7 linked regions of the Macaca mulatta genome follow. The protein of the gene in region 1 interacts with the protein of each later gene in a biochemical or structural test. Links are inferred from orthologs where the notes say so. Each region holds a gene or a part of one and is shown in the gene's direction. Other genes may lie near its edges. The genes, in order: ITCH, NDFIP1, MLANA, JUNB, NFE2, UBE2G1 and WBP2.

Region 1 (4,150 bases):
ATTGTACAAGTCAACAATGATACATGTTTCACTTCTAGAACTTCAAACAATACATACAAAACTGCAGTTCCCTGTGACCACCTACTTGAGTACACAGGTGCCCTCCTCCTCAATGGAATGTATACTTTTTCTGTGTTTATTTATAAGTATTTGTACTCATAGGAGTATATAGTGTTTTAGTTTGCAAAAATAATATCATACTGTACATACTGATGGGGTGATCATTTTGTGATCCACCCCACCCCAACTCATGTATGCTATTCTGCAACTTTAAAGATGTTCTTGGGATCTTTCAATTTCAGTCATTAATAAGTTACTTATTTTGATACCTGCATAGTAATCTGTTCTGTGGTATGAATATGTGATTTATTTAACATATGCCAATTGATAATATAGGTTGCTTCTAATTTTTTGATATTATGCAAATAGCAATTTTTATTCTTTTCAAGAATTTAAAATGCTTGGTGAATTTTAGTTATGTAAAACTAGTATGTATATGTACATAAATTATTGAAATTACTAGCATGTTTTTGGCAGAGCACCTCACAATTCTACCATAATGATTCTCTGTAATTATCTGGAGAGTCATTGTTCTTAAAAATATTTGCAGGCTATGCTTTCATTAATCTTTTCTACATGAAGTTAATTTTAGTTTTTAAAATATACTTCATTTTTGTAGAGATCTAAAATTTTTTGCGACTTTGTAATTAATGTAAATTTATATTTAGAATAGTTTATACTGTACTATTAGAAAGGGCATTTTCTTGCAATAAATCGTTAGTGGAGATGAGTGACTGTTGATGGAGATGAGTACCTTTATCATGCAGAATATCAGCACCTAGATATTGGACTTTTCTCACTGCCCCTTAATTTACTTTTTTTGATATTGTCGTTCTATGGCAAACAGGCTTTTGGATATTGAGGAGGGAGTAATACGTGTACATAATGTGTTATAATGTCTTTGAGGACCCTTCTCATAACAAGCCATTTGAATCAGAATAATATCTTGTGCAATATGGTGTTAAAAGGCTTTTAGGTTACATCTCATTTCTTAATATATTATGGATGACTACTAATGACTTTATGCTGTTTACCTTTCATTTTTAAAATAAAAGGGTTCTTTTAGCAGATTTTGTTTATAAAACATCTCATTTGAAATAGTGCAATTTAAATAAACAAGGTAAAGGAAAAAATATATGTATTATGCCAAGAAAATGAGCTAGTCCCTATGGTTGAGACCAAATTTTAGCTTCGAGCATTTTTGTATGTAAGCACAGAATGAGGTAGGTTGGATTTTATAGGGTTCATCTCAGTAGGAATTAATTATTGTTCCATTTCATTTTTGCAGAAATGAGAAGCCATCATAATTGTTTTATATTTAAATTTTTAAACGGAAACCTAAATTTGCATAAAAACTCAAGACAGCGTTTACAGTTTCAAGGCATTTTGTTTGCCTTATTGTATTTGTGTACTTCTTACAAAAGTACCTGGCAAACAGTAAGTGCCAAGTATATTTAGTTTAATTTTATTTTTTATTGTATCTTATTTCTTCTTTTTTGAGGTAGGGTCTTCCTCTGTTGCCCAGGCTGGAGTACAGTGGTGTGATCACAGCTCACTGCGGACTTACCTCCTGGGTCGGGAGTGGTGGTGTGCACCAGTGGTCCCAGCAACTCAGGAGGCTGAAGCAGAAGGACCCCCCAGCCCGGGAGGCGCTCCAGAACACCCCAGCTTGGGTGACAGAGTGAGAGTTTTTCCCAAAAAATAAATAAGTAAATAAAGTTGCTTGGGACATGTTATATAGATGATATTTAAAGCTATCTGGATAGGTAATATCCTCCAGGTTATAATCATCTGTACCCCATTGCTTGATGGGGTGATCATTTTGTGATCCACCCCACCCCGACTCATGCATGCTAATAGTTATGTATGCCTTTTCTCAAATTTATCTGCCTGCCTTTTGTCAGATGATTTTCAGTGAACCTTCACTGGGCGCAAAGGGGAAGTCTTGTCTTGGCCCCTGTAGTACTAACAAGCATTGTCAGATTTTGCCAATAAGTTAGGTAGGATAAAGACTAGAATTGAAAATTGTGTTTAGCAATGTAAAGGCCTTTGTTACACTGTCTTCAGTAATAGCCAGGTTAGCACTATTTACGTACGTTTTTAATGGGAATTTTTGATGTTTACACTGCCTCCTTTGCCATGTTCAGGTTTTCCAACCTATTGGTGGTATGTCTGACAGTGGATCACAACTTGGTTCAATGGGTAGCCTCACCATGAAATCACAGCTTCAGATCACTGGTAAGTTTTAGAAACATCGGCAGCTTTATTTTTCCCCATGTGATTAAAAAATAATCCTGAGAGGGCCGGGCATGGTGGCCCATGACTGTAATCCCAGCACTTTGGGAGGCTGAGGTGGGCGGGTCGCTTGAGGCCAGGAGTTTGACATCAGCCAGGCCAACATGGAGAATACAAAATTAGTTGGGCGTAGTGGTGCACGCCTGCTGTCCCAGCTACTTCGGAGGCTGAGGCATGAGAATCGCTTGACCTTGGGAAGTGGAGGTTGCAATGAACCGAGATTGCGCCACTGCACCCCAGCCTGGGTGATAGGGTGAGACTCTCAAAAAAAAAAAATCTTAAGAGAACAAAATATTTAATGGCTGTTACATGTCAGGTGCTCAATTAATATTTGCTGAATGAATGAATGAAGACATACAGATAGTAATTTTTATTGTAGAATATTCTTGGATATTTTACAGTTTTTTTTCCTTGAACATGGGCACCTGGGTAGTTGCTTATTTTGTTTGTTTTGTATTGTATTAACAGCTTTATTGAGATATAATTCATATCCCCTACAGGTTACCCATTTATTGGGATTACACGCCTGTAATCCCAGTACTTTGGGAGATCCAGGTGGGCGGATCACCTGAGGTCAGGAGTTTGAGACCAGCCTGGCCAACATGGTGAAACCCCGTCTCTGTTAAACATAAAAAAAATTAGCTGCACGTGGTGGTGCATACCTGTAATCCCAGCTACTTGGGAGGCTGAGACAGGAGAATCGCTTGAACCTAGGAGGCAGAGGTTGCAGTGAGTCGAGATCATGCCATTGCACTCCAGCCTGGGCGACAGAGCGAGATTCCATCTCAAAAAAAAAAAAAAGACTTCAGTCTTTATATTCCTGCTATATAAGTTTAGTTATTGAAAACTCAAGGAAGGAACAAAGGTAATTGTAATTGTTTCCTTCTTTGGTGGATCTGGACTTAGGCAGATAAGAGAACTTCAGAAAACAACTTCATGCTGTACTTTGAGAGAAAGAAGATTGAGGGAGGGATGCTGCAGGGGTCAGAGAGATCTTGAGAGACTCCTTTAGTTCAACGAGTCAAAGCACCATATTTTGGGATATCAGTTTCTGAACCCCAAAAGTACATTCACAGAGTTGTGCAACCATCACCACAATCAACTTTAAAATATTTTTGGCCGGGTGCGGTGGCTCAAGCCTGTAATCCCAGCACTTTGGGAGGCTGAGACGGGCGGATCACGAGGTCAGGAGATCGAGACCATCCTGGCTAACCCGGTGAAACCCCGTCTCTACTAAAAAATACAAAAAAAAAAAAAAAAAAAAAAACTAGCCGGGCGAGCTGGCAGGCGCCTGTAGTCCCAGCTACTTGGGAGGCTGAGGCAGGAGAATGGCATAAACCCAGGAAGCAGAGCTTGCAGTGAGCTGAGATCCGGCCACTGCACTCCAGCCTGGACGACAGAGCGAGACTCCGTCTCAAAAATATATATATATATTTTTTTGTCCTTCCAGAAAGAAGCCCTGTACTCATTAGCAGTCACTCTCCATTTAACCCATCCACCCACAAACCCAGGCAACTCCTGATCTTTCTGTCTCTAGATTTCCCTATTCTGGATCTTGCATATAAATGGAATTGTACAATGTGTGGCCTTTTGTGTCTTCTTTGAGCAGACTGTTTTCAAGGTTCATCCTTGTTGTAGCATGTAGCATTACTTAATTCCTTTTTTTGCTAAATAATATTTTATTGTATGAGTATACCAAATTTTAAAAATCCATTCTTCAGTTGAGGGATGTTTGGGTTGTTTCTACTTTTTGGATATTATGAAAAATGCTATAAACATTTGTGAACAAGTTTTT
Region 2 (3,500 bases), on another chromosome or scaffold:
TACAAAAATTAGCTGGGTGTGGTGGCAGGTGCCTGTAATCCCAGCTACTCAGGAGGCTGAGGCAGGAGAATCGATTGAATCCGGAAGGCGGAGGTTGCAGTGAGCTGAGATCGTGCCATTGCACTCCAGCCTGGATGACAAGAGCGAGACTTCGTCTCAAAAAAAAAAAAGCAGAGGTCAAAGCCAGGGCACAGTGGCTCATGCCTGTAATCCCAGCAATTTGGAAGGCTGAGGTGGGCGGATCACCTGAGGCTAGGAGTTCAAGACCAGCCTGGCCAACACGGAGAAACCCCGTCTCTACTAAAAACAAAAATTAGCCGGGCATGGCTGTGCACACCTGTAGTCCCAGCCACTCGGGAGGCTGAGGCAGGAGAATCGCTTGAACCTGGGAGGCAGAGGTTGCAGTGAGCCAAGATCATGCTACTGCACTCCAACTTGGGTGACAGAGTGAGACTCGGTCTCAAGAAAAAAAAAAAAAAAAGGAAGCAGAGGTTGTAAGTATATAGTTTGAAGACTGTTAAGGTTTGCTTTTTGTTTTTTGCTGTTTTTTGTTTTTTGTTTTTTTTCCTTTTGAGACAAGGTCTTGCTCTGTTGCCCAGACTAAATTTGGAGTGCAGTGGTGTGGTCACTTCTCACTGTACCCTTGACCTCCTGGGCTCAAGTGCTCCCCCCACCTCAGCCTCCCAAGTAGCTGGGACTGCAGGTGTGCACCACTGTGCACCACTGTGCCCAGCTAATTTTTTTTCTTTCAGTTTTGTAGAGATGGGTCTTACTGTGGTGCTCAGGCTGGTCTCAAACTGCTGGGCTCAGGGGATCCTCCCACATTGGCCTCCCAAAGTGCTAGGATTACAGGTATGAGCTACTGTGCTCAGCCTGTTAAGGCGTTTTTGAAAGTAACTAACAGTAGACATAATTGTGTAAAACCTGATAGGGAGGAATTTTTCTTGTTTGCTTTTTGGGGAAAGACAGAGAAGAATGGTTGTTTTAGAGGAGGTATGGTGAGGGTTGTGGAGGACAGGCTTTTATCCTTTGGAAAGTCATTAAAACAGAGGCAGGTGTAAGGCACTCTTGTTCTTGGGTAACAGGACATGTCTAACATCTTTCCCCTCCTCTGCTTTTGCAGTGGCATTCCTCTTTAACTGGATTGGGTTTTTCCTGTCTTTTTGCCTGACCACTTCAGCTGCAGGAAGGTATGGGGCCATTTCAGGATTTGGTCTCTCTCTAATTAAGTGGATCCTGATTGTCAGGGTAAGTTGTACAACAGAAAAGATGGGCTCTACAGAGGGACAATAATTAGAATATTTTTGAATATTTGATTTTTCATTTGCTTTTTTAAAAGTTATTTCAACGTGTTAAATGATTTTTAGTTTGTCTAAAAAATGATGAAGCTGAACCAAAATCATTTGCAAATGGTTCATGCACACAAGTTTTGTTGTCAAAGCTATTGAATACTGGTCTAGTATTAATATTGTTCACCATCTGCTTTCTTTGTTTCTGATGTTTATAATATGATAATGTATATGTTCTGAAATTAGTTGTTTTTATAATAAAAGGAAGGATATTTACCCCTTTGATGTCTCATCAAAAGCAGCCATTCCTCTCATTTCTGTTACAGTTTTAATCTAGCTCTCTCTCTTCTTCCTTCTTTTCTTTTCTCCTTCTCGTCCCCTCTCCCCTCCAGGATTGCTTATGCCAAAATGTTTGGGGAGCCAAAACTGTTTAACAAGTATTGCTCCATTAGGAGCCTACCTCTGAAGTAAATTATAGAGATGTATGTCTTTAGTGACTTAAGAGTTGCCAGTTAGTTAAATTTGCATGAAGTAATTTTTTTTTTTTTTTTTTTTTTTGAGACGGAGTCTTGCTCTGTCGCCCGGGCTGGAGTGCAGTGGCCGAATCTCAGCTCACTGCAAGCTCCGCCTCCCAGGTTTACGCCATTCTCCTGCCTCAGCCTCCCGAGTAGCTGGGACTACAGGCGCCCCACCTCGCCCGGCTAGTTTTTTGTATTTTTTAGTAGAGACGGGGTTTCACCGTGTTAGCCAGGATGGTCTCGATCTCCTGACCTCGTGATCCGCCCGTCTCGGCCTCCCAAAGTGCTGGGATTACAGGCTTGAGCCACCGCGCCCGGCCTGCGTGAAGTAATTTAAAGTTGTAAAAGATCTAGGCTTTTAAAGTGTCCCCTGATTTCAGATACATTTATTGCTATCATCAACCTTATAAACAAAAACAATTTATCCATCATAAATTGGCATACTTAACTAATGGGTGTTGCTTGACCACTGTAGTTTTTCTAAGTAGTGCCACCTTATTTATTATAAAACATTTGTTAACGTTTTTAGGGTTCTAGAATCCTTTGAGAATCTGATGAAAGTTATAAGCTTTTCCCCCACATAGCTAATATGTACTAATCTATAATAATGGACTTTAGGTTAAGAACTCAAGCCCTAAAGAGGTTTTCATTCCTTCCCTAAATCTTAATTGTTACTTTATTAACAAATAAAATGCTATATTTTAATTTTCAAACTACATTAAACTCTTGGACACCAAAGCCTCCAAGGAAAAGAGAAATAAAATTAATTCCAGTCTTTTTTTTTTTTTTGTAACTAAATTTTCAACTGCATTTACAAAGTGGATTAAATGGGCTGCGCGCGGTGGCTCACGCCTGTAATCCCAGCACTTTGGGAGGCTGAGGCGTACAGATCACAAGGTCAGGAGATCGAGACCATCCTGGCTAACACGGTGAAACCCTGTCTCTACTAAAAAAATACAAAAAAAATAGCGGGACGTGGTGGCGGGGGCCTGTAGTCCCAGGTGCTCGTGAGGCTGAGGAAGGAGAATGGCGTGAACCCAGGAGGGGGAGCTTGCAGTGAGCCGAGATTGTGCCACTGCACTCCAGTCTGGGTGACAGAGTAAGACTCCGTCTCAAAAAAAAAACAATTAATCAAATGAATTAACTTGTATCAGTTAGGATGCTTTTGACTGTGAGTAACAAAAACCTAGCTCAAAATGGCCTAGAAAAAAATTTTTAATTGTTATTTTAAATGGGGAAAGTTTATTTCCCCTGAAAACAAGTCCCTGACAAGGAGGTTAGTTAAGTCAGTGGCTATTGGACATCATCAAGGTCAGCTGACCTATCAGCATATTGGCACAGATCCCCCCATGCCCTCAGGGTTAAAAGATGGCAGTTTCATGTATCAGTATTACATTGAAACACAGCAGTGCTCAAGAGAAGAAAAAGAACTATTTAAAAAAATTTTTTTCTACCACCTTTAGAAAGAACTGTTTTTTCTCTAAGAGCCAGGAAAGCTTCTCAGAAGCCCTCAACTTCCATTGGTCAGAATGGCATCCTGTGCCCATTCCTAAACCAGTTGTCAGCAAAGGAAGGGGATTACCCTGGTATAGATGATAAAGCTTCCAAAGTCAAGACAAGGCTGGAGGAGTAGGAACAAAGTCAGGCCTCCTTAGAAAGAAGGCAATGATATCAGCTACTCAGGAGGCTGAGG
Region 3 (3,500 bases), on another chromosome or scaffold:
TAATTATTTATATTTTTAATAGAGACGGGGTTTCACTGTGTTAGCCAGGATGGTCTCAATCTCCTGACCTCGTGATCCGCCCGTCTCGGCCTCCCAAAGTGCTGGGATTATAGGCATGAGCCATCATGCCCCGCCTTACACTTCTTTTTTACTTTTTTTCAGTGGTTTCCCTAGAGTTTGCAACAAACATTTACAACTAATTCAAGCCCACTTTCAAATAACACTATACCATTTCATAGGCATTATGAGCATCTTAAAATAAAATAATCCTAATTCCTTCCTCCTGTAAACTAAAAACAAAACCTACATCCTCCAACCAACTGAATGGACCCCCTCTTGGCCAAGGGGACCCCAGGGAAACCTGAAAAACTGAGTCTTGGCCATGATGGGAAGGGAGATGAGAGATGCCTCATTATACACCCTCCCTTTTAGAGTTTTAGTTACAACTGACTAGCATTAATTTTAAAATAGAGATTATAGGACTGACAGAATTAACTCTTTGTGGCAATATCAAATTAGGAACAAGACAATGCAAGGAAAGGGTTAAATCACGCCCTTCAAACCATAAAATGTTGTTTTTTAAAAAAATTAACCCTGTATAATGTGGTTTACTTTCCAAATTGACTCTGGTATAGCATCACGTGACAGACTGCAGACTCCCTTATCTTAAGCATTCCTTTATACTGACTTCAAGTCTTAAGACAGAGCTGAACTTTCAACCAACTGCCAACTAAAGAATCCCTAAAACTCACCTGTGACTTGTAAGCCTCTGCTTTGAGATGTCCTGCCTTTTCAGGCTGACCCAAAATATACCTTCTGTGTATGGATTTATGATTTTTACCTACAATTCCTGCCTTCCTGAAATGTATAAAACCAAATCATAACCCAACCACCTCAGGCACACTTTCTCAGGACCTCTTGAGACTGTTCTCCTGGCCATGGTCATTCATATTGGCACAGAATAAACCTCTTTAAAATATTTTGCAGTTTTTTTCTTTCTGTTAACATTCCTTTCCCTTGTATCATTGCTGTTATTCATTTCAAGTGTATATAAGCATACACAATTAAATACACTGTAGCTATTATTCATTTTTGAACAAACTATTATCTGTTAAATCAACTAAGATGAATATGTTGGGTACAGTGGTGCATGCCTGTAGTCTCAGCTACTCAGAGGCTTAGGCAGGAGGATTGCTTGAGTTTAGGAGTTTAAGACCAGCCTGGGCAGCTTAGCAAGATCATGTCTCCTAAAAAAAAAAAAAAAAAAAAAAAGAGAAAGAAAGAAAAAGGAAGTTTTGGGAGGCTGAGGCAGGAGAATTGCTTGAACCCAGGAGGCAGAGGTTGCAGTGAGCTGAGATCACGCCATTACACTCCAGCCTGGGCAACAGAGTGAGACGCTGTCTCAAAAAAAAAAAAAAAGTTTTTATTTTACCTTCACTTATTCATTCTTGGATGTTCTTCCTTTATGTAGATACAAGGTTCTGACCTATGTTATTTTCTTTTTCTCTAAAGAACTTCAAATGTTTCTTGCAAGGCAGGTCTACTGGCAACGAATTCCCTCAATTTTTGTTTGACAAAGTCTTTATTTCTGCTTCACTACTGATGGATAATTTCATAAGAGTGTTCCTTTTGTAGATTCAGTCTTCTTATCCTTCCCTTCAGAAATATTCTTTGACCACCTATTGGGTCCCAGGCACTGCACTAGAGCTTTACCTCTAGTTAATTCCCACAACAATTTTGAGAGGTAGGTGGGTATTATCTTCCTAGATGCAAACTCAGAATTCAGAGAGGCAAAGTGATAAGACTGAAGGCACACAGCAAGTAAGTGGCAGAACCTAGATTAAAACTCATTCTTAAAACTTTGGCTTCCCTTCTCTTTTCTAAAATGGATTCAGTTACTTCTTCTTCCCACTCACCTTTATCAATTTACATTTCAGGATAAAAGTCTTCATGTTGGCACTCAATGCGCCTTAACAAGAAGATGCCCACAAGAAGGGTTTGATCATCAGGACAGCAAACTGTCTCTTCAAGAGAAAAATTGTGAACCTGTGGTAGGTTGAGATCCTTCATAAGGGTATTTTCATGAATGGCTGTTTTTAACTCAAGTGAATACAATGATTTCCATTTAAAAAGCAAGAACAATGTGAATGTACTCGTTGCCACTGAACTATATATACCTAAAAATGGTTAAAATGGCAACTTTTTTGTGTATTTTATGAGAATAAAAAATAAATAATAATAAAAACAAAAAACAAGGGAAGCACAGGGATTTTCTTAAATTGTGTTGTCACATACCCAGAGTTTCCAGGGTCAATAATGAGAGCCCTACATGTAAGATCCAAAGGAAGAACTTAGTCCTGGATACAATATTCTTTTATGTTTTTAGTCATACTTGCCTTTTTAATGGATGTAGATATATGCAGAGGGGAGGGATAAAGTACCTATTATTTATTGTATAGAGCTGTGCTGTCTGATGGCTTAGCCACTAGTCACGTGGTGCAACTGAACACTTATAGGAGTTTAAAATAAGATGTATTATAATACATACCATATTTCAAAGATATTAGTATGTGGAAAAGAAGATAAATGGTTCATTAATTATTTTTATATTGATTCATTTTGAAATAAATATTCTGATAATATTAGGTTAAATAAAACATTTTAAGATTAATTTTACATGTTTCTTTTTTTAAATGTAGCTACTAGAAATTTTAAAATTACATATGGCCGGACATGGTGGCTCACACCTGTAATCCCAGCACTTTGGGAGGCCGAGGTGGGTGGATCACCTGATCTCAGGAGTTCAAGACCAGCCTGGCAAACATGGTGAAATCCTGTCTCTACTAAAAATACAAAAATTAGCCAAGCGTGGTGGTGCACACCTGTAATCCTAGCTACTCTGGAGGCTGAGGCAGGAGAATCACTTGAACTCAGGAGGTGGAGGTTGCAGTGAACCGAGATAGTGCCACTGCACTACAGCCTGGGCAACAAGAGTGAAACTCCATCTCAAAAATAAATTAATAAAATAAAATTAAATTACGTACCATATTTCTATTGGACAGCACTAGTACATATACAACACAGTATAATGGTTGAGAGCACTGACTCTGGAGCCAGATTACTGTGTTTGATTCTTACCTCAACAACTTACTAGTTGTGTGACAATGGGCAAGCGAGTTAACCTCTCTGTGCTCTGGTTTCCCATTCTGTAACATGAAAACAATAAAAACACTCCCAGAATTGTTGTGAGCATTAAATGAAGCCCTGACACATTTATTCTGGATACAATATCCTCTTGTTTTATATTTGGTAGTGTCAATGTGCCTTTAGACACAATTACAAGGATCTCTGTGGTAAAGATGCAATGTATATAGTGTCGGTAAATAGCATTCAGTGATTTGTTTGTTAGGGCTTGAGATTTTTACTGTCATGGAAAATCCAGGTATAGCTAAGCTTTTGAGATTTTGGGAACCCCTTAACCCTATTTTTCTCTACTCTTG
Region 4 (3,744 bases), on another chromosome or scaffold:
CCCGCCGTCGGGCCAATGGAACAGTCCCATGTTGCCTGCCTCCGCGGTCCCCTGCAGGCGCCGCGGGCGGAACCATTGCTTGAGGGGAGAGGATGGTGGCTGGAGGCTTCCGTGGCTGGGCAGGCTCCACGCACCCGGGCCTCCGCGGGGGCTCGCACGCCCAGGTTCCTCTTCCGAGGCGCAGGATGCGGTGGGACCCAGGGCGGGGCGCACGGTCCCGTAGGATCCAAGTGACGGAGACAGGGCCGGGCTCCTTCCCCCGGGGCTGTTGCCACACTTCCTGCCTCGGCGCTCTTTCCCCAGCCTGTTTCTAAGGAAGGGAGTGGGGTTGGGCGACCGCGCCCCAGCCGTCGGGCTGGGTCCAGGCTCCAGGAGCCGACACGGTGTCGGGCAAAGCCCAGGGTCAATAGGGGAGAGTTTTAGGATGGGGGACAGAGAATACAGATGCCTAGGAGGTTACCCACGAGGGGGAGCACCAGTCGTGGAAGATCCAGCAGTCCTGGTGCGCAGGACCCTCAAAGCCCCCTCCTCGCATGTCAACTGAGTACCCTCTTATTGTCTTCTCTGCTCCGAAGATGTGTCCGGACCCTTCTGACTCTCTCCTTCATCCGGGCTTCGCAGATGACCCCAGTGGTCACCAGTTTCTGGCAGACTTGTCTCCATCTTCTACCCTGCATATTTTACCTGCCTCAGTGTACCGCAGGACGCTTACTCGCTTTCTGCATACCTAGATTTCCCCTAATTCCTCCTTCCCAATTACGGGAGAGCCCTCAGACCTTCCCATGGGCTCCTGGACCCTACTCATTTCTTTCAATTTAATGGGTCGTGCAGCTCCGCCCACTCACCCCTTTTGATCTCTCCCCTCCTCCATCCTGTGAAAATTCCAGCCCCGCATCCTTCTATGCTCGGGACCCCCAGTCAATTCCTGGGTCAGGTGTCTCCTTACCCCTCCCGATTTACCGTGCTTAACCCTCATTCCTGCTTTTTGGGGTCTCCCAATGAATTGTCCTACCCCTCTCGTATTCTGGGTACCTCAGGGGTTTCTTCGCACACCCTGAGATCCTCAACCTACTTGCTGCGTACCAGGTCCTGGTATTTGTCCCAGTGGACTTCAATGAAATCATCCTCCTCCCTGAAACCCCTCACTCATGTGCCTGGGCCCCCAGGCCTCCTTCCATGCGTACCCCGGGGTCCTTTGAGCCCCTCCCCCTGCAGGCCCGCCGAGCCACCCGGCCCGTGGCCGCTGTTTACAAGGACACGCGCTTCCTGACAGTGACGCGAGCCGCCTCCTCCCCTTCCCCACGCTCGAAGAGGGGGGCGCGGGGGCCCGGCTTCGGCGACGGCCAATCGGAGCGCACTTCCGTGGCTGACTAGCGCGGTATAAAGGCGTGTGGCTCAGGCTGAGCGGCTGGGACCTTGAGAGCGGCCAGGCCAGCTTCGGAGCCAGCAGGGAGCTGGGAGCTGGGAGCTGGGGGAAACGACGCCAGGAAAGCTATCGCGCCGGAGAGGGCGACGGGGGCTCGGGAAGCCTGACAGATCTTTTGCGCACAGCTGCCGGCTGGCTGCTCCCCGCCCGCGCCAGCCCCCGAGAACGCGCGACCAGGCACCCAGTCCGGCCACCGCAGCGGAGAGCTCGCCGCTCGCTGCAGCGAGGCCCGGGGCGGCCCCGCAGGGACCCTCCCCAGACCGCCTGGGCCGCCCGGATGTGCACTAAAATGGAACAGCCCTTCTACCACGACGACTCATACACAGCTACGGGATACGGCCGGGCCCCTGGTGGCCTCTCTCTACACGACTACAAACTCCTGAAACCGAGCCTGGCGGTCAACCTGGCCGACCCCTACCGGAGTCTCAAAGCGCCTGGGGCTCGGGGACCCGGCCCAGAGGGCGGCGGTGGCGGCAGCTACTTTTCTGGTCAGGGCTCGGACACCGGCGCGTCTCTCAAGCTCGCCTCTTCGGAGCTGGAACGCCTGATCGTCCCCAACAGCAACGGCGTGATCACGACGACGCCTACACCCCCGGGACAGTACTTTTACCCCCGCGGGGGTGGCAGCGGTGGAGGTGCGGGGGGCGCAGGGGGCGGCGTCACCGAGGAGCAGGAGGGCTTCGCCGACGGCTTTGTCAAAGCCCTGGACGATCTGCACAAGATGAACCACGTGACACCCCCCAACGTGTCCCTGGGCGCTAGCGGGGGGCCCCCGGCTGGGCCCGGGGGCGTCTACGCCGGCCCGGAGCCACCTCCCGTTTACACCAACCTCAGCAGCTACTCCCCAGCCTCTGCGTCCTCGGGAGGCGCCGGGGCTGCCGTCGGGACCGGGAGCTCATACCCGACGGCCACCATCAGCTACCTCCCACACGCGCCACCCTTCGCCGGTGGCCACCCGGCGCAGCTGGGCTTGGGCCGCAGCGCCTCCACCTTTAAGGAAGAACCGCAGACCGTGCCGGAGGCGCGCAGCCGGGACGCCACGCCGCCGGTGTCCCCCATCAACATGGAAGACCAAGAGCGCATCAAAGTGGAGCGCAAGCGGCTGCGGAACCGGCTGGCGGCCACCAAGTGCCGGAAGCGGAAGCTGGAGCGCATCGCGCGCCTGGAGGACAAGGTGAAGACGCTCAAGGCCGAGAACGCGGGGCTGTCGAGTACCGCCGGCCTCCTCCGGGAGCAGGTGGCCCAGCTCAAACAGAAGGTCATGACCCACGTCAGCAACGGCTGTCAGCTGCTGCTTGGGGTCAAGGGACACGCCTTCTGAGCGCCCCCTGTCCCCTTACGGACACCCCCTCGCTTGGACGGCTGGGCGCACGTCTCCCACTGGGGTCCAGGGAGCAGGCGGTGGGCACCCATCCTGGGACCTGGGGGCGCCGCAAACCACACTGAACTCCCGCCCTGCGCCCAGTCCTTCCACCTCGACGTTTACAAGCCCCCCCTTCCACATTTTTTTGTATGTTTTTTTTCTGCTGGAAACAGACTCGATTCATATTGAATATAATATATTTGTGTATTTAACAGGGAGGGGAGGAGGGGGCGATCGCGGCGGAGCTGGCCCCGCCGCCCGGTACTCAAGCCCGCGGGGACATTGGGAAGGGGACCCCCGCCCCCTGCCCTCCCCTCTCTGCAACGTACTGTGGAAAAGAAACACGCACTTAGTCTCTAAAGAGTTTATTTTAAGACGTGTTTGTGTTTGTGTGTGTGTTTGTTCTTTTTATTGAATCTATTTAAGTAAAAAAAAAAAAATTTGTTCTTTATTAATTTCTGTTGTCTTTTTTTCCAAGCTGGGAGGGCGGAGGGAAAAAAAAGCACTGGTGTGCCCCCAGCTCAGTGCTGTTGGTGGCTCGGTCCTGTATGTGTCCCCCTCGTCGGCTCTGCGCAGGCATCTTGTGGTCCCAACCCGGGAGTCCCACCCTTCCCGCGTCCCCGAATCTCCAGGGTTGGATGGTTGGGGCGCGGGACGCAGTCCAGGGACACAGTAGCTGAAGGCAGGGCGCTGGGGGCGAGACGCGGAGCGCGCAGGCGCGGCCCCGCCCAGCAGTGCGCGCCGGGGCTTTCCCCGCTGACGCAGCGGAAGCGTTGCCCATACAAGGACCGATTCTGCCCAGTGACGCGACCGCGGTCTCTGGGCAGATTCCGGGAATCCCCTCCCCCGCTCTGCCGGGCAGGGCCGCAGCGCCGGGAAGGGGGCCGGGATTTTCCCGGGCAGGCGGCTGCCCGGGCACGGAAAGCCCCAGGCCTGGGTCCAGAGGGCCCGCGGT
Region 5 (4,090 bases), on another chromosome or scaffold:
AAACTTGCTACTGCACCCAAAAGCTGGTTGGAATGGATCCAGAGGTTCTCCTCAACTCTCTCCCCTCCAAACTCCTGCCTCTCCTTGCTCCCCCCCGCCCTTTTTTTTTTTTTTTTTTGAGACAGAGTCTTACTCTGTTGCCCAGGCTGGAGTGTAGTGGCATGATCTCAGCTCATCGTAACTTCTACCTCCCGGGTTTAAGCAATTCTCATGCTTCAGCCTCCTGAATAGCTAGGATTACAGGTGTGCACCACCAGACCTGGATAATTTTTGTATTTTTAGTAGAGATGGGATTTTGCCATGTTGGCCAGGCTAGTCTCAAATTCCTGACCTCAGGTGATCCACCCACCTTGGCCTCCCAAAATGCTAAGATTACAGGCATGAGCCACCACACCCGGCCACTGAGGCACTTTAAAATGCTGATTCCTGGGTCTATGAATTAAATTCAGTAGATTTGAAGTGGCTTTCAGGAATCTGTGTTTTTACATGTAGCCCAGGTGAATGTGGCACACAATGAAGTTTGTGACTCCCTGAGCTAGATGCAACCTACAGCCTTTCACAGCAATTGGTTTCTAGTCCTGTCTCCATTTAGGGAAGGGACTGAATGAGAAGCAATTTGCCCAAGGTCATGTATCCTTTTGTTTGTTTGTTTGTTTGTTTGTTTGTTTGTTTCAGTGTTTCACTCTTGTTGGCCAGGCTGGAGTGCAATGGCATGATATCGGCTCACCGCAACCTTGCCTCCCTGGTTCAAGCGATTCTCCTGCCTCAGCCTCCCAAGTAGCTGGGATTACAGGCATATACCACCATGCCCAGCTAATTTTGTATTTTTAGTAGAGACAGGGTTTATCCATGTTGGTCAGGCTGGTCTTGAACTCCCTACCTCAGGTAATCCTCCCACCTCCTCCCAAAGTACTGGGATTACAGGCGTGAGCCACCGCGCCTGGCAAGGTCATGTATCTCAAGTGCCAGAGAACCTAGGTCTCCTGCCTCCTAGGGCAGGACCTTTGTACTGCACCTTAGAGTCAGATCCAAGAAGATAAAAGGAGAGACAAATACGGGGTGGGGTGGGGTGAGTGAAGAACTATGAAGCAAGAGTCATTGTCTCTGCCCCCTAAACCCCTTCTCCATTCACTTTGCCTTTGGGCAATTTCCGCCAGAACCTGGGTGGAGGAGGGTGGGGTTCCGGTGTTGAAATGGCATCCTGGACAGACATAAACACCCCACCCACTCTGCCCACTGGCAGAGTTGCCTACACCAACTCCCATCTCTGGGGATGGCAGTAAAACAAGGGGATGGAGGCAAGAGCTAGGGGAGATACTCTTTTAAAAGCATCATTTGTAGTTCCTACTAATTTTGTCGTAAGTTGAAGAGAAGATTCCAAATTAAATTGCTGTGCTGGGCCATCCTTGTGGTGAGTGATCTAAGGTCATGCAATTTGAGATCATACAATCCTATCCTCTGTCCTTCTTTTTCTTTTCTTTTTTTTTGAGACAGAGTCTCGCTCTGTCGCCCAGGCTGGAGTGCAGTGGTACGATCTCAGCTCACTGCAACCTCCACCTCCCGTGTTCCAGCAATTCTCCTTGTCTCAGCCTCCCAAGTAACTGGGATTACAGATGCCCACCAACATGCCTGACCAATATTTGTATTTTTAGGAGAGACAGGGGTTTCACCATGTTGGCCAGGCTTGTCTCAAACTCCTGACCTCAGGTGATCCACCTGCCTCGGCCTCCCAAAGTGCTAGGATTAGAGGTGTGAGCCACCGCACCTGGCCTTTTTTTTTTTTTTTTTTTTTTTTTTTTTTTGAGACGGTCTTGCTCTGTCACCCAGGCTCGAGTGTGGTGGCACAATCATGGCTCACTGCAGCCTTGACTTTTCAGGTTCGAGTGATCCTCCCACCTCAGCCTCCTGAGTAGCTTGGACCACAGACGTGTGCCACTATGCCTAGCTAATTTCTGCATTTTTAGTGGAGATGGGTTTTTACCATATTTCTCAGGCTGATCTCAAACTCCTGGGCTCAAGCGATGCTCCCACCTCGGCCTCCCAAAGTGCTTCCCCTCTCCCACGTTTCCTTCATCCTAGCCTGCTTCCCTTTACTAATATGGCAGGGTACGTCTGTGTGCGTGCACACACACACAATGTGTGACCGTAGAGATCAGGAAGACCTTGCCAAATCTACTTGGAGTCTCTTGCTGACGGCAGGGAAAACAGATGCAAGGAAGGTGGGTGTCAGGGAATAGGGAGGTAGCATGAGGAGAGGGACTGACAGAGAGAAGATAAGGACACGGGTGAGGGTTTGCTGAGAATTCTAAGCTATCCAAGCAGAAAGGGACCTCCAAGGTCAATTTGTCCAACTCCCTGGTTTTACAAATGAGGAAACAGAGGCCCAGAGAAGTGAGATGGCTTGCTCAACATCACACTGCTGCTTTGTGGCAGAGCTGCAACTAGAACCCAGGTCAAAAGAAAAGGGACTGGATGGCAGTGTGTATTCAAGGCTCTAGAGGGACATTGCCCAGAAGGAGAAAGAGAGACTGACACTCCACAGAAAGAACTGATGAATGTAGATTTCCAATAGAGGTTTGGAGTATGAAGATACAGGGGCAGGAGGGGAAGATGCCTAGAAGAAATTATAGTCAAGTGGAGTCAGGTTCTAGACCTCATCCTGCTATTATTTATCAGTTTCAGTCTCAGCTTCTGATGTACCTTTAGAATCTTTGTGAAAACCAGTCTTTTTTTTTTTTTTGAGACAGAATCTAACTCTGTCACCCAGGCTGGAGTGCAATGGCGCGATCTCAGCTCACTGCAACCTCCACCTCCTGGATTCAAGTGATTCTCCTGCCTTAGCCTCCTGAGTAGCTGGGACTACAGACATGTACCACCCCATCACACCCAGCTAATTTTTGTATTTTTAGTAGAGACGGGGTTTCACCATGTTGGCCAGGCTGGTCTCGAACTCCTGACCTCAGGTGATCGCCTGCCTTGGCCTCCCAAAGTGCTGGGATTAGAGGCCTGAGCCACTGCACCTGGTGAAAACCAATCTTATAAACTAAGCTTGCAACATCAAGCTTAGTTCTTAACAAGTGCTTACTAAGTCTTTACTAAGGTTGTTGTATTACCTCAGAAGAGGAAAGACTTCTGGTTGTGTGGGTTAAGGTATGGCCCAAATGACCCTGTGAGGACACAGGACAGAGGTCCAGTGTCTCCAGAGCCCATTCCTTCTGTGCCTCTGCCGCCTGCAGCTGATAAACCTCTTATCTGGCCCAGGCAGGGAAGCCCAGGGCCAGGATAGGAGGAGAGGGCAGAGCTGCTATCAGCCACCAGGCCTGGGCCATATCTTCGAGAGGGGGAGGGGCTGTCTGCTTGGCTCTTTCCACAACATGCTCTTGGGGATCCTGAAGCATATACTGTCATCATCTTGGAAAGAAAAGGCTGAGAACTTAAAACTGAGGACAGAGGAGGAAAGCAGGGTGACCCCTGATGTTGCCCTAGAAAATGAAAAACAAAATACAGGAAAACAGAGAAACAGAAGATCTGACTCTGCCCTTAGCCAGGAAAACAGTTTGGGGGAGTGAAAAGTAGGGGAAAGAGTGGGCATTTTGCCTGGAAAAAAGGTAAAGACCTTCTGTGCTACCAAAGGAACTGACTGTGGCCATAGTTGGCGAGGTGGAGATCATACCACAGGAAAAGATTTTCCGTCTTAAGGGATTGGTTGATGAGTCCAGCATGAGTGAGGATGGGGAGGAGGCAGTCTCTCCTTCCCTCAGGGGAAGCTGGAGGGAGCCCCTCCAAGGAGGTAGTGCAAACTTGCTGATCCTAGCAGGTGTAGCTCTAACACCTCTTTTCCTTTGACACAGGTTTCCAGAGCCATCTGGGCTTTCCAGGAACCTGGACCAGACTCTGGCCCAGTAGGATGTCCCCGTGTCCTCCCCAGCAGAGCAGGAACAGGGTGATACAGCTGTCCACTTCAGAGCTAGGAGAGATGGAACTGACTTGGCAAGAGATCATGTCCATCACTGAGCTGCAGGTGAGTAAGGGCGGGATAGGGTGGGGAGAGCGTGTGTCAGAGAAGAGAGAAGCAGGGAGTTGACCTGGA
Region 6 (4,267 bases), on another chromosome or scaffold:
GTAGGAATAGAAGGAAATCTCCTTGATTTGTTAAAGTGAAACATCAAAATTGTCCCTTTGGTCTATTTGATAGGGAGGCAGTGGTTCACATCTGTAATCCTAACACTTTGGGTGGCCGAGTTGGAAGGACTGCTTGAGCCCAGGAGTTTGAGACTAGCCTGGGCAACACAGAGAGACCCCTCTCTCTCTCTCTTTTTTTTTTTTTTTTTTTTTTTGAGATGGAGTCTCTCTCTGTCCGCCAGGCTGGAGTGCAGTGGCACCATCTCAGCTCACTGCAACCTCTGCCTCCGGGTTCAAGCAATTCTCCTGTCTCAGCCTCCCAGGTAGCTGGGAGTATAGGCGCCTGCCACCAGGCCGGGCTAATTTTTGTATTTTTAGTAGAGACGGGGTTTCACCATGTTGGCCAGGCTGATCTCGAACTCGTGACCTCAGGTGATCTACCCGCCTTGGCCTCTCAAAGTGTTGGGATTACAGGCGTGAGCCACCCCGCCCCGCCGAAACCCCCCATCTCTATAAAGCAAATAAAAAAGTAGCAGGGCATGGTTGTGTGGTGTGTACCTGTAATCCCAGATACTAAGGAGACTCAGATGGGAGGATCCCTTAAGCCCAGGAGTTCCAAGCTGCAGTGAGCTATGATCACTGCATTCCAGCCTGGGCGACAGAAAGAATTGCTGTCCATAAATAATAATAATAACACGGCCGGTTGCGGGGGTTCAATAATAATAGGGCCGGTCGCGGTGGCTCATGCCTGTAATCCCAGCACCTTTGGGAGGCTGAGGCCGGTGGATCACTTGAGGCCAGGAGTTTGAGCCCAGCCTGGCCAACATGGTGAAACCCCATCTCTACTAAAAATACGAAAAATTTGCCGGGCGTGGTGGTGGGCGCCTCTAATTCCAGCTACTCAGGAGGCGGAGGCAGAAGAATCACTTGAACCCGGGAGGCGGAGGTTGCAGTGAGCCGAGATCACGCCACTGTACTGCAGCCTGGGCGACAAAGCGAGATTCGGTCTAAAAAAAAAAATCTTTTTGTGCACTCTTCATGTAAAGAGAATTATCAGCATATATTGCCTCTATTTTGGTGTTTGGTTAAAATGGGGCACACCAGTACTAACTTCGGCTTTCTAACAATTCCTAATTCGCACACCATGTGGCAGTGTTAGATGGCTTTTGGGCGCTCGCCAACGACAAGACATCTACCACTTCTTTTGGCCCCTTCGCTCCCATATCCATTACTTCAATCCAGATGCTGTATTTGACCCTCCGCGACCTCTTTGTCATGGCGTCCGCGGGGCGTCTACCAGCGGAGACTTGGGCTGGCAGCCGGGCGTCGACCTTCCCAAAATGGCGACGACAGGGACAACTGCGCTCAGGGGGCGGGGTTCCGCCGCCGGGGGCGGGGCGGGAGGCCGAGGGGTCGGGCTAGCGAGCGGGACGCTTCCCAAGTCGGCTGTCTCAGCGCGCCTGCGCCGAGCGGCCCTGCGCGCAGTGAGGCAGTGGCGGGGGAAGGCACCGGTGGGGCCGACGGGCGGGTTGAAGGAGGGAAGCGGGCGAGCGAAGTCCCAGTGCGCGCCGCGGCAGCCCGGGCACCCTCCCCTTCCGGGCGTGAGTCGCTGTGAAAAGAGCTGAAGCGAGCGGACTCGCACCGGCAGCGAGGCGCCGCTCCCGCCGCCTCAGCCCGGCCTCCCTCGGCTCCGGCGCTCCGGTCGCGGGGCCCGGGTTCCTCGGCACACCCCGCTCCAGCCGCCCCCAGAGCCTGTCCCCAGCCCTTCGGAAGCCCCGGCGCCAGCCCGGGCCCTCGGCGGGGAGGATGACGGAGCTGCAGTCGGCACTGCTACTGCGAAGACAGCTGGCAGGTGAGCAGGCGGGCGGCGGGCCGCCGGGCTCGGCCGCGATCGCAGACAGCCGCTGCTCGGTCCCTCTTCTCCTCCTCCCGAGCCAGCGGCCGCACGGCCGAAGGGGTCCGGGCCTGCGAGGGTGGGTACCTCGAGGCTCCGGTCCCGGCCGGGCCCAGCCGTTCTCGCCTGGCTCTCGGAGGGCATTGGGGGCGGGGACGCGACCCAGCTCCGGGCCGGGGACCGGGCCTGGCGCCCGGGGGATCGGAGAGGAGGCGGCCCCCCTCCCCCACCGTTCTGTAGGACGTTGCGGGGGAGGGGCTGTGTGCGGATCCCCAGGCCGGGGCCGCCAGCCTGGAGGGGCGGGTCCCGGGCTCAGGTGCTGCCGGGGTCGCCGGACCTTCGGGGCCGGCTGGAGCGTCCGGGCCCAGCGTGGCTGCGAGTCCCAGGCTCGGTGTCTGAGCCGCAGGGGGCGAGGGCGGGCGGAAGGGACCTGCCCTGGCGGGATAGGTGAGGCGCACAAAACTTCTCCCCGGGCGGCGCTGGGTCCGCGGAGTTGGGGCCGACAACAAAAGCGCCGGCCTCGGCGGCCTCCACGCGGGCGCGCGGGTGCCGGAGACCCTGGCGGGGTGCGGAACGCCGCCTCGCCTGCCTCCGCCTGGCACGGGCTCCGGCTGCGCCGCCCGGCTGGGGGAGGGTAGGAGCGGGCCGCGGGAGAGCCGCTCGCTGGCCGGCTCCGGGCTTTGTGCTCGCCGCGATTCCTGCTCCTGCGCAGGCCCGCAAACCCCGGAGCTGCGCCCGCAGACTCTGGCCCGGGGCGGCGGCCGGGTCGGCCTCTCCGAGGAGCCTGCGGCCCCCCTCCCCCATTGTCCCGGCCTCCGGCCGTTTGCGGCTTCCAGGTTGACTTTTTAGGGGGTTGGCTCCTACTCTGCTAGGACTGTGTGCGCAGAGCATGCGCACTGGAGACGTCCGTGTGCGGAGTGGAAGGGGGGAGGCGGGTTGGTGGCTTCACAATGCAGCCCCACGTGCTGCCAGATTTAAAGAGAAATGAACCAGCAGTTACCCCTGCTGTACAACGCCCGGCGTGTGTCATTCTCAGTTCAAGCGATCTTCCCCCTACCCACTCTACAACCAGTAGCCTCCGGCCCTCAGCAGAAGCCAAAGACTGGAGTGATGAAATCTGTCTTTGAAATACATTTACTAAGAGTTTGAGGTGTTCGTTAAATCACCTTTATAGCTTCTTAAGGAAAAGATTGTCAGGGGTTCTTACAGATAGTATAATTGGGTTTATTATTAGACCATGAGCAAGCAGGTTTGGACAAGTATTAAAGTTCTAGATGCTCGGGGGAGTTCGCTTCCAGTGAATGGAGAAGTTCTAATGATACTACAGGATACTCATCAAAATTATGTACTGGAAAAGCACTGAGGCCGGGCGCGGTGGCTCACGCTTGTAATCTCAGCACTTCGGGAAGCTGAGGCGGGCAGATCACCTGAAGACAGGAGTTCAAGGCCAGCCTGGCCAATGTGGTGAAACACCCGTCACTACTAAAAATACAAAAAATTATTCGGGCGTGGTGGAGGGCGCCTGTAATCCCAGCTGCTCGGGAGGCTGAGGCAGGAGAATTGCTTGAACCCGGGAGGCATCGCTGCAGTGAGTTGAGATCGCCCCATTGCATTCCAGCCTGGGCAACAGAGCGAGACTCTTCAAAAAAAAAAAAAAAAAAAAGAAGGGCCGGGCGCGGTGGCTCATGCCTGTAATCACAGCACTTTGGGAGGCCGAGGCGGGCGGATCACGAGGTCAGGAGATTGCGATCATCCTGGCTAACATAGTGAAACCCCGTCTCTACTAAAAATACAAAAAATTAGCCGGGTGTGGTGGCGGGCGCCTGTAGTCCCAGCTACTGGGGAGGCTGAGGCAGGAGAATGGCGTGAACCCCGGAGGTGGAGTTTGCAGTGAGCCGAGATCGCGCCACTGCACTCCAGCCTGGGCGACAGAGCGAGACTCTGTCTCAAAAAAAAAAAAGAACTTTATTGCATCTTTTTTTAAATTTTGAGGCAGAGTCTCACTCTATCACCTAGGCTGGAGTGCAGTTGCGTCATCTCGGCTCACTGCAACCTCCGCCTCCTGGGTTCAAGTGATTCTCCTGCCTCAGCCTCCCGAGTAGCTGGGATTACAGGCGCGCACCACCACGCCCGGCTAATTTTTTGTATTTTTGGTAGAGGCGGGTTTTTACCATGCTGGCCAGGCTGATCTCCAACTCCTGACCTGGGGATCGCCCGCCTGGGCCTCCCAAAGTGTTGGGATTACAGGCGTGAGCACCGCGCCCGTCTGCATCTTGACATTTATAAACACCTTTTCTGTATACTTTTTTGTTTGGAGGAGGGAATTAAGATTTCCCCAATTCTTTAATCAGAATAAGTTTTATGTGGTGAATT
Region 7 (3,500 bases), on another chromosome or scaffold:
AGAGCTGGGGAAAATGCTGGCATTAAAGACGGCAGCTTGGCCGGGCGCGGTGGCTCAAGCCTGTAATCCCAGCACTTTGGGAGGCCGAGGCGGGCGGATCACGAGGTCAGGAGATCGAGACCATCCTGGCTAACACGGTGAAACCCCGTCTCTACTAAAAAATACAAAAAACTAGCCGGGCGCGGTGGCGGGCGCCTGTAGTCCCAGCTACTCGGGAGGCTGAGGCAGGAGAATGGCGTAAACCCGGGAGGCAGAGCTTGCAGTGAGCTGAGATCCGGCCACTGCACTCCAGCCTGGGTGACAGAGCAAGACTCCGTCTCAAAAAAAAAAAAAAAAAAAAAAAAGACGGCAGCTCAGGTCAGCTTTTCAGAGCGTGAAGTCTGCAGAAGCTTGCGGACTGAGTCAGGATGCTTAGTGCGCCTTGGCGAGTGCATACAAATTTTAGACTCAGGAAGGAGCTGCATCAGTTCTTGAGAGGGGCCTTTTCATGAGAGCCAGGAAGAGGCAACTGCCTCTGGAAGCCAGAGTTACCCTGCTTTGGGGCTGGCTTTTTGGCAGGCCCCAGAGACCTCTGCACTGAACTTGCCTTCCCCTTGACAGGCAGCCAGGCCCGCCCTTGCTATTGAGCGCTCTTGGTCCCTCTTTGGGCAGAAGCCAAGCTAGAAGGGCTGGAGTCTGTCCTTGGACCCCCTTAGGATGAGAGGTCTGCTCTGAATTTCAGGGTCGGTTGTTGTCGAGTGGGCTTGTGCCTGTGCAGCTGCCGAGTGCTTGACTGGGGGTGGAAAGAAACCTTGATGTTAGCTCTAAAACCACACCAAGGTGGCCTTGGCACCTGTGTACATATTGGGCCAGTGGTGGGAGGACAGGCTTGTTTCAGGAAGGAGAGGCCCTTGTTCCAAAGGGGGAAGCGAGTATAGCAGGGCCTGGCCGGGCTGCAGTGCTGGCTCCTATGCAGGCAGCAGGCTGGAAACCATGGCACTGGGAAGTCCCCATCACAGTGCAGGCCTAGCTTCCTGCAAGCCTCCCGGGCGTCGGATGAAGCCCTGGAGAGGAAAACAGCCATCTCTTGGGGCATCGGTTTTCTTTTTCTGTGGTGTTTATTCGCTGTCCTTCCCCTCTCAGGTGGCTGGGAAGGTTCTGCTTCCTACAAGTTGACTTTCACGGCAGGGGGCGCCATTGAGTTTGGACAGCGGATGCTCCAGGTGGCATCTCAAGGTATCCAGGCTCCGAAGATTAGGGGCTGAGGACACACTGAACATGTAGGGGTTTGGTTTGAGTTTGCTTCCTTTTTTTTTTGCTTTTTTAAACATTCAAGAGGTAAGTGTCTGGGCACTAGGCTGAGCAGGCCTAGGAGTTGGGAAGGAAAGCTGTCATTGGCGTGAGCTCTGTCCTGTACCTCAGAGGCTGCGTTTCCCTGCCTGGAGCAGGTGGATCACATTTTGACAAAGCTGTTTGGACTCAAGGACACTTTACTATGGCCCCATAAAACAAACCCCAAACCAACCATTAAACTGCGGTTTTGCAGCCATTGAAAATGACCGAGGGATGGGCCCAGCAGACATCCTCCGCCAGCTCACTCCTACCCCAGCCCTGAGCCTCCCTCCTGGCCTCCGTCCACCCTCCACCCTTGTCCTTGACCTCCCTTGCCTTCCCCTGGCTCTGACCTCTCCTGTCCTCTCTCATCACCCCATCCCTGACCAAGGCAGCCCCGAGTGTGGGTGGAGAGTGGAGTGGGGTGGACAGAGCATGTCTGCTGGGCACACTCCTGGGCCCCAATAGCTCCCCTCTGCAGGCAGTGGGACCGCCCTCTCCCCGCCCCAAGGCAGGCCACACTCATTTCTCTTTCCCCTTGTACTTGTAGCCTCCAGAGGTGAAGCCCCCAATGGAGCCTATGGCTACTCTTACATGCCCAGCGGGGCCTATGTCTATCCCCCGCCAGTCGCCAATGGAATGTACCCCTGCCCTCCTGGCTACCCCTATCCACCGCCCCCGCCTGGTGAGTGTGTCCTTTGCTGCCCACCCTCCCCTCATGAGCCCGCCTATCCAGGCTCCCCCAGGCCAGGGAGGCTTCATTCCTTGAGCTGCTTCAGGACTAACAGGATCTGGAGAGGCCCCCCTCAGAGGGGGCCGCAGCCGGGTGCTCACCGGGTCCCTGTTGCTCTCTTGCCGAGCAGAGTTCTATCCAGGACCCCCCATGATGGACGGGGCCATGGGATACGTGCAGCCCCCACCACCGCCCTATCCTGGGCCCATGGAACCTCCGGTCAGCGGCCCCGATGTCCCCTCCACTCCTGCAGGTGAGGGCCTTTGGGTGCTGGCAGCCCTTCGGGACCAGCCCTCTCCTCCCCAAGGTTGCACAGAGAGCCTCAGAATGGCCAGAGACTGCTGAGAGCCGCAGATGATGGATGACCCCTGGACTACCCCAGGGGCCCAGCAGGGCCGTGGCCTGGTGGTGCGGAGCTAGATTCTGGCCCCACCCCCATCCCTTAGCTACCCACATGGCCTGGGCAGGGAATGTCACCCTGTGTGCCTCGGTCCTCTCATCCTCTCATCTACACTCAGTTGGTCGGTCACGGTGGCACCTGGGGGGTTGGCTCAAGGATTAGATGAGGTGAGACATGCGATGGGCCTGGAAAGGACCATGCCAGCACGTGGCCCATGCTCAGGAAGCCTCACCTGCTGCTGTTATTGGCGGAACTGGACCCCCAGCACCAGCTGCCCCGAGCCATGGGGACCCAGGGTCTCTGGGCTAAGCTCAGGGGGATGAGAACTTGTCACTGACACTGGGTGTGTTTGCTCTCACAGCCGAAGCCAAGGCCGCAGAAGCAGCCGCCAGCGCCTACTACAACCCAGGCAACCCTCACAACGTCTACATGCCCACGGTGAGAGAGCGTGGCAGTGCCAGTGGCAGTGCCAGTACAGCCCCGCAGCCACAGATGCTGGGAGCCACAGGGGGAAGACTGCGCCATGTTTTAAACCTTCTAACGCGAATTTTCCCTTTCTCCCTTCTTTAGAGCCAGCCGCCACCACCTCCCTACTACCCACCGGAAGATAAGAAGACCCAGTAGGCCCTCCTGCCTCCCTGCCTCCCACCCTTATCTCTGTACCCTACCCCTCCCATTGGGGCTGCACTGGGGCTGGGGGAGGGGGCGCCTTGTTCTCCCTCCAGGTCTGATCATAAACAATTACCAGGAACTAGCATTGTGGGACATTAGGGCCCCCGGCCTCAGGAGAGGTGCCGCCCAGCTTCCATGCCAGCCCAGAGCCCACAACGCTGCCCAGTGTGCCTCACTCACTGTCTGGGGCTCTCCTGGGAGCATGGGGCATCCCCTGTTCCTGTTTCACTCTCAGCTTCTCCCCTCGAAGGGACTCTCTGGCCACCTCCTCCACCGCAGTCCAGCTCCCTCAGTCTGGCAGCCACTGCTACACTCAGCCTCATGAGCCACTTCAGACCAGCCAGGTGTCTTCCCCGGCCCTGCCAGGCCCTGCTCACATTCCCT

Evidence for each region.
Region 2: the proteins of ITCH (region 1) and NDFIP1 form a complex in vitro, tested with the Homo sapiens proteins (2 studies listed by BioGRID). The link is inferred for Macaca mulatta from reciprocal best matches to the Homo sapiens genes ITCH and NDFIP1.
Region 3: the proteins of ITCH (region 1) and MLANA form a complex in vitro, tested with the Homo sapiens proteins (2 studies listed by BioGRID and IntAct, with this or other methods). The link is inferred for Macaca mulatta from reciprocal best matches to the Homo sapiens genes ITCH and MLANA.
Region 4: the proteins of ITCH (region 1) and JUNB form a complex in vitro, tested with the Homo sapiens proteins (2 studies listed by BioGRID, with this or other methods). The link is inferred for Macaca mulatta from reciprocal best matches to the Homo sapiens genes ITCH and JUNB.
Region 5: of the proteins of ITCH (region 1) and NFE2, one has a biochemical effect on the other in vitro, tested with the Homo sapiens proteins (2 studies listed by BioGRID, with this or other methods). The link is inferred for Macaca mulatta from reciprocal best matches to the Homo sapiens genes ITCH and NFE2.
Region 6: the proteins of ITCH (region 1) and UBE2G1 form a complex in vitro, tested with the Homo sapiens proteins (2 studies listed by BioGRID). The link is inferred for Macaca mulatta from reciprocal best matches to the Homo sapiens genes ITCH and UBE2G1.
Region 7: the proteins of ITCH (region 1) and WBP2 form a complex in vitro, tested with the Homo sapiens proteins (2 studies listed by BioGRID). The link is inferred for Macaca mulatta from reciprocal best matches to the Homo sapiens genes ITCH and WBP2.

Annotation. Positions count from the first base shown.
Region 1 is NC_133415.1:87,186,656-87,190,805, forward strand, and holds the start of ITCH (E3 ubiquitin-protein ligase Itchy homolog), read left to right. Parts: upstream 1-1,350; coding exon 1,351-1,497; intron 1,498-1,561; exon of another isoform or gene 1,562-1,585; coding exon 1,586-1,741; intron 1,742-2,207; coding exon 2,208-2,298; intron 2,299-4,150. UniProt on the Homo sapiens protein: Acts as an Acts as an E3 ubiquitin-protein ligase which accepts ubiquitin from an E2 ubiquitin-conjugating enzyme in the form of a thioester and then directly transfers the ubiquitin to targeted substrates.
Region 2 is NC_133411.1:150,996,407-150,999,906, forward strand, and holds part of NDFIP1 (NEDD4 family-interacting protein 1), read left to right. Parts: intron 1-1,123; coding exon 1,124-1,248; exon of another isoform or gene 1,249-1,370; intron 1,371-3,500. UniProt on the Homo sapiens protein: Activates HECT domain-containing E3 ubiquitin-protein ligases, including NEDD4 and ITCH, and consequently modulates the stability of their targets. As a result, controls many cellular processes.
Region 3 is NC_133420.1:93,446,887-93,450,386, reverse strand, and holds part of MLANA (melanoma antigen recognized by T-cells 1), read left to right. Parts: intron 1-1,937; coding exon 1,938-2,051; intron 2,052-3,500. UniProt on the Homo sapiens protein: Involved in melanosome biogenesis by ensuring the stability of GPR143. Plays a vital role in the expression, stability, trafficking, and processing of melanocyte protein PMEL, which is critical to the formation of stage II melanosomes.
Region 4 is NC_133424.1:13,346,065-13,349,808, forward strand, and holds JUNB (transcription factor JunB), read left to right. Parts: upstream 1-1,402; 5' UTR 1,403-1,703; coding exon 1,704-2,747; 3' UTR 2,748-3,244; downstream 3,245-3,744. UniProt on the Homo sapiens protein: Transcription factor involved in regulating gene activity following the primary growth factor response. Binds to the DNA sequence 5'-TGA[GC]TCA-3'.
Region 5 is NC_133416.1:61,486,179-61,490,268, reverse strand, and holds the start of NFE2 (transcription factor NF-E2 45 kDa subunit), read left to right. Parts: upstream 1-1,290; 5' UTR 1,291-1,411; intron 1,412-3,851; 5' UTR 3,852-3,907; coding exon 3,908-4,021; intron 4,022-4,090. UniProt on the Homo sapiens protein: Component of the NF-E2 complex essential for regulating erythroid and megakaryocytic maturation and differentiation. Binds to the hypersensitive site 2 (HS2) of the beta-globin control region (LCR).
Region 6 is NC_133421.1:5,863,291-5,867,557, reverse strand, and holds the start of UBE2G1 (ubiquitin-conjugating enzyme E2 G1), read left to right. Parts: upstream 1-1,467; 5' UTR 1,468-1,806; coding exon 1,807-1,852; exon of another isoform or gene 1,853-3,093; intron 3,094-3,449; exon of another isoform or gene 3,450-3,558; intron 3,559-4,267. UniProt on the Homo sapiens protein: Accepts ubiquitin from the E1 complex and catalyzes its covalent attachment to other proteins. In vitro catalyzes 'Lys-48'-, as well as 'Lys-63'-linked polyubiquitination. May be involved in degradation of muscle-specific proteins.
Region 7 is NC_133421.1:85,558,515-85,562,014, reverse strand, and holds part of WBP2 (WW domain-binding protein 2), read left to right. Parts: intron 1-1,122; coding exon 1,123-1,215; intron 1,216-1,861; coding exon 1,862-1,996; intron 1,997-2,174; coding exon 2,175-2,297; intron 2,298-2,805; coding exon 2,806-2,882; intron 2,883-3,014; coding exon 3,015-3,068; 3' UTR 3,069-3,500. UniProt on the Homo sapiens protein: Acts as a transcriptional coactivator of estrogen and progesterone receptors (ESR1 and PGR) upon hormone activation. In presence of estrogen, binds to ESR1-responsive promoters. Synergizes with YAP1 to enhance PGR activity.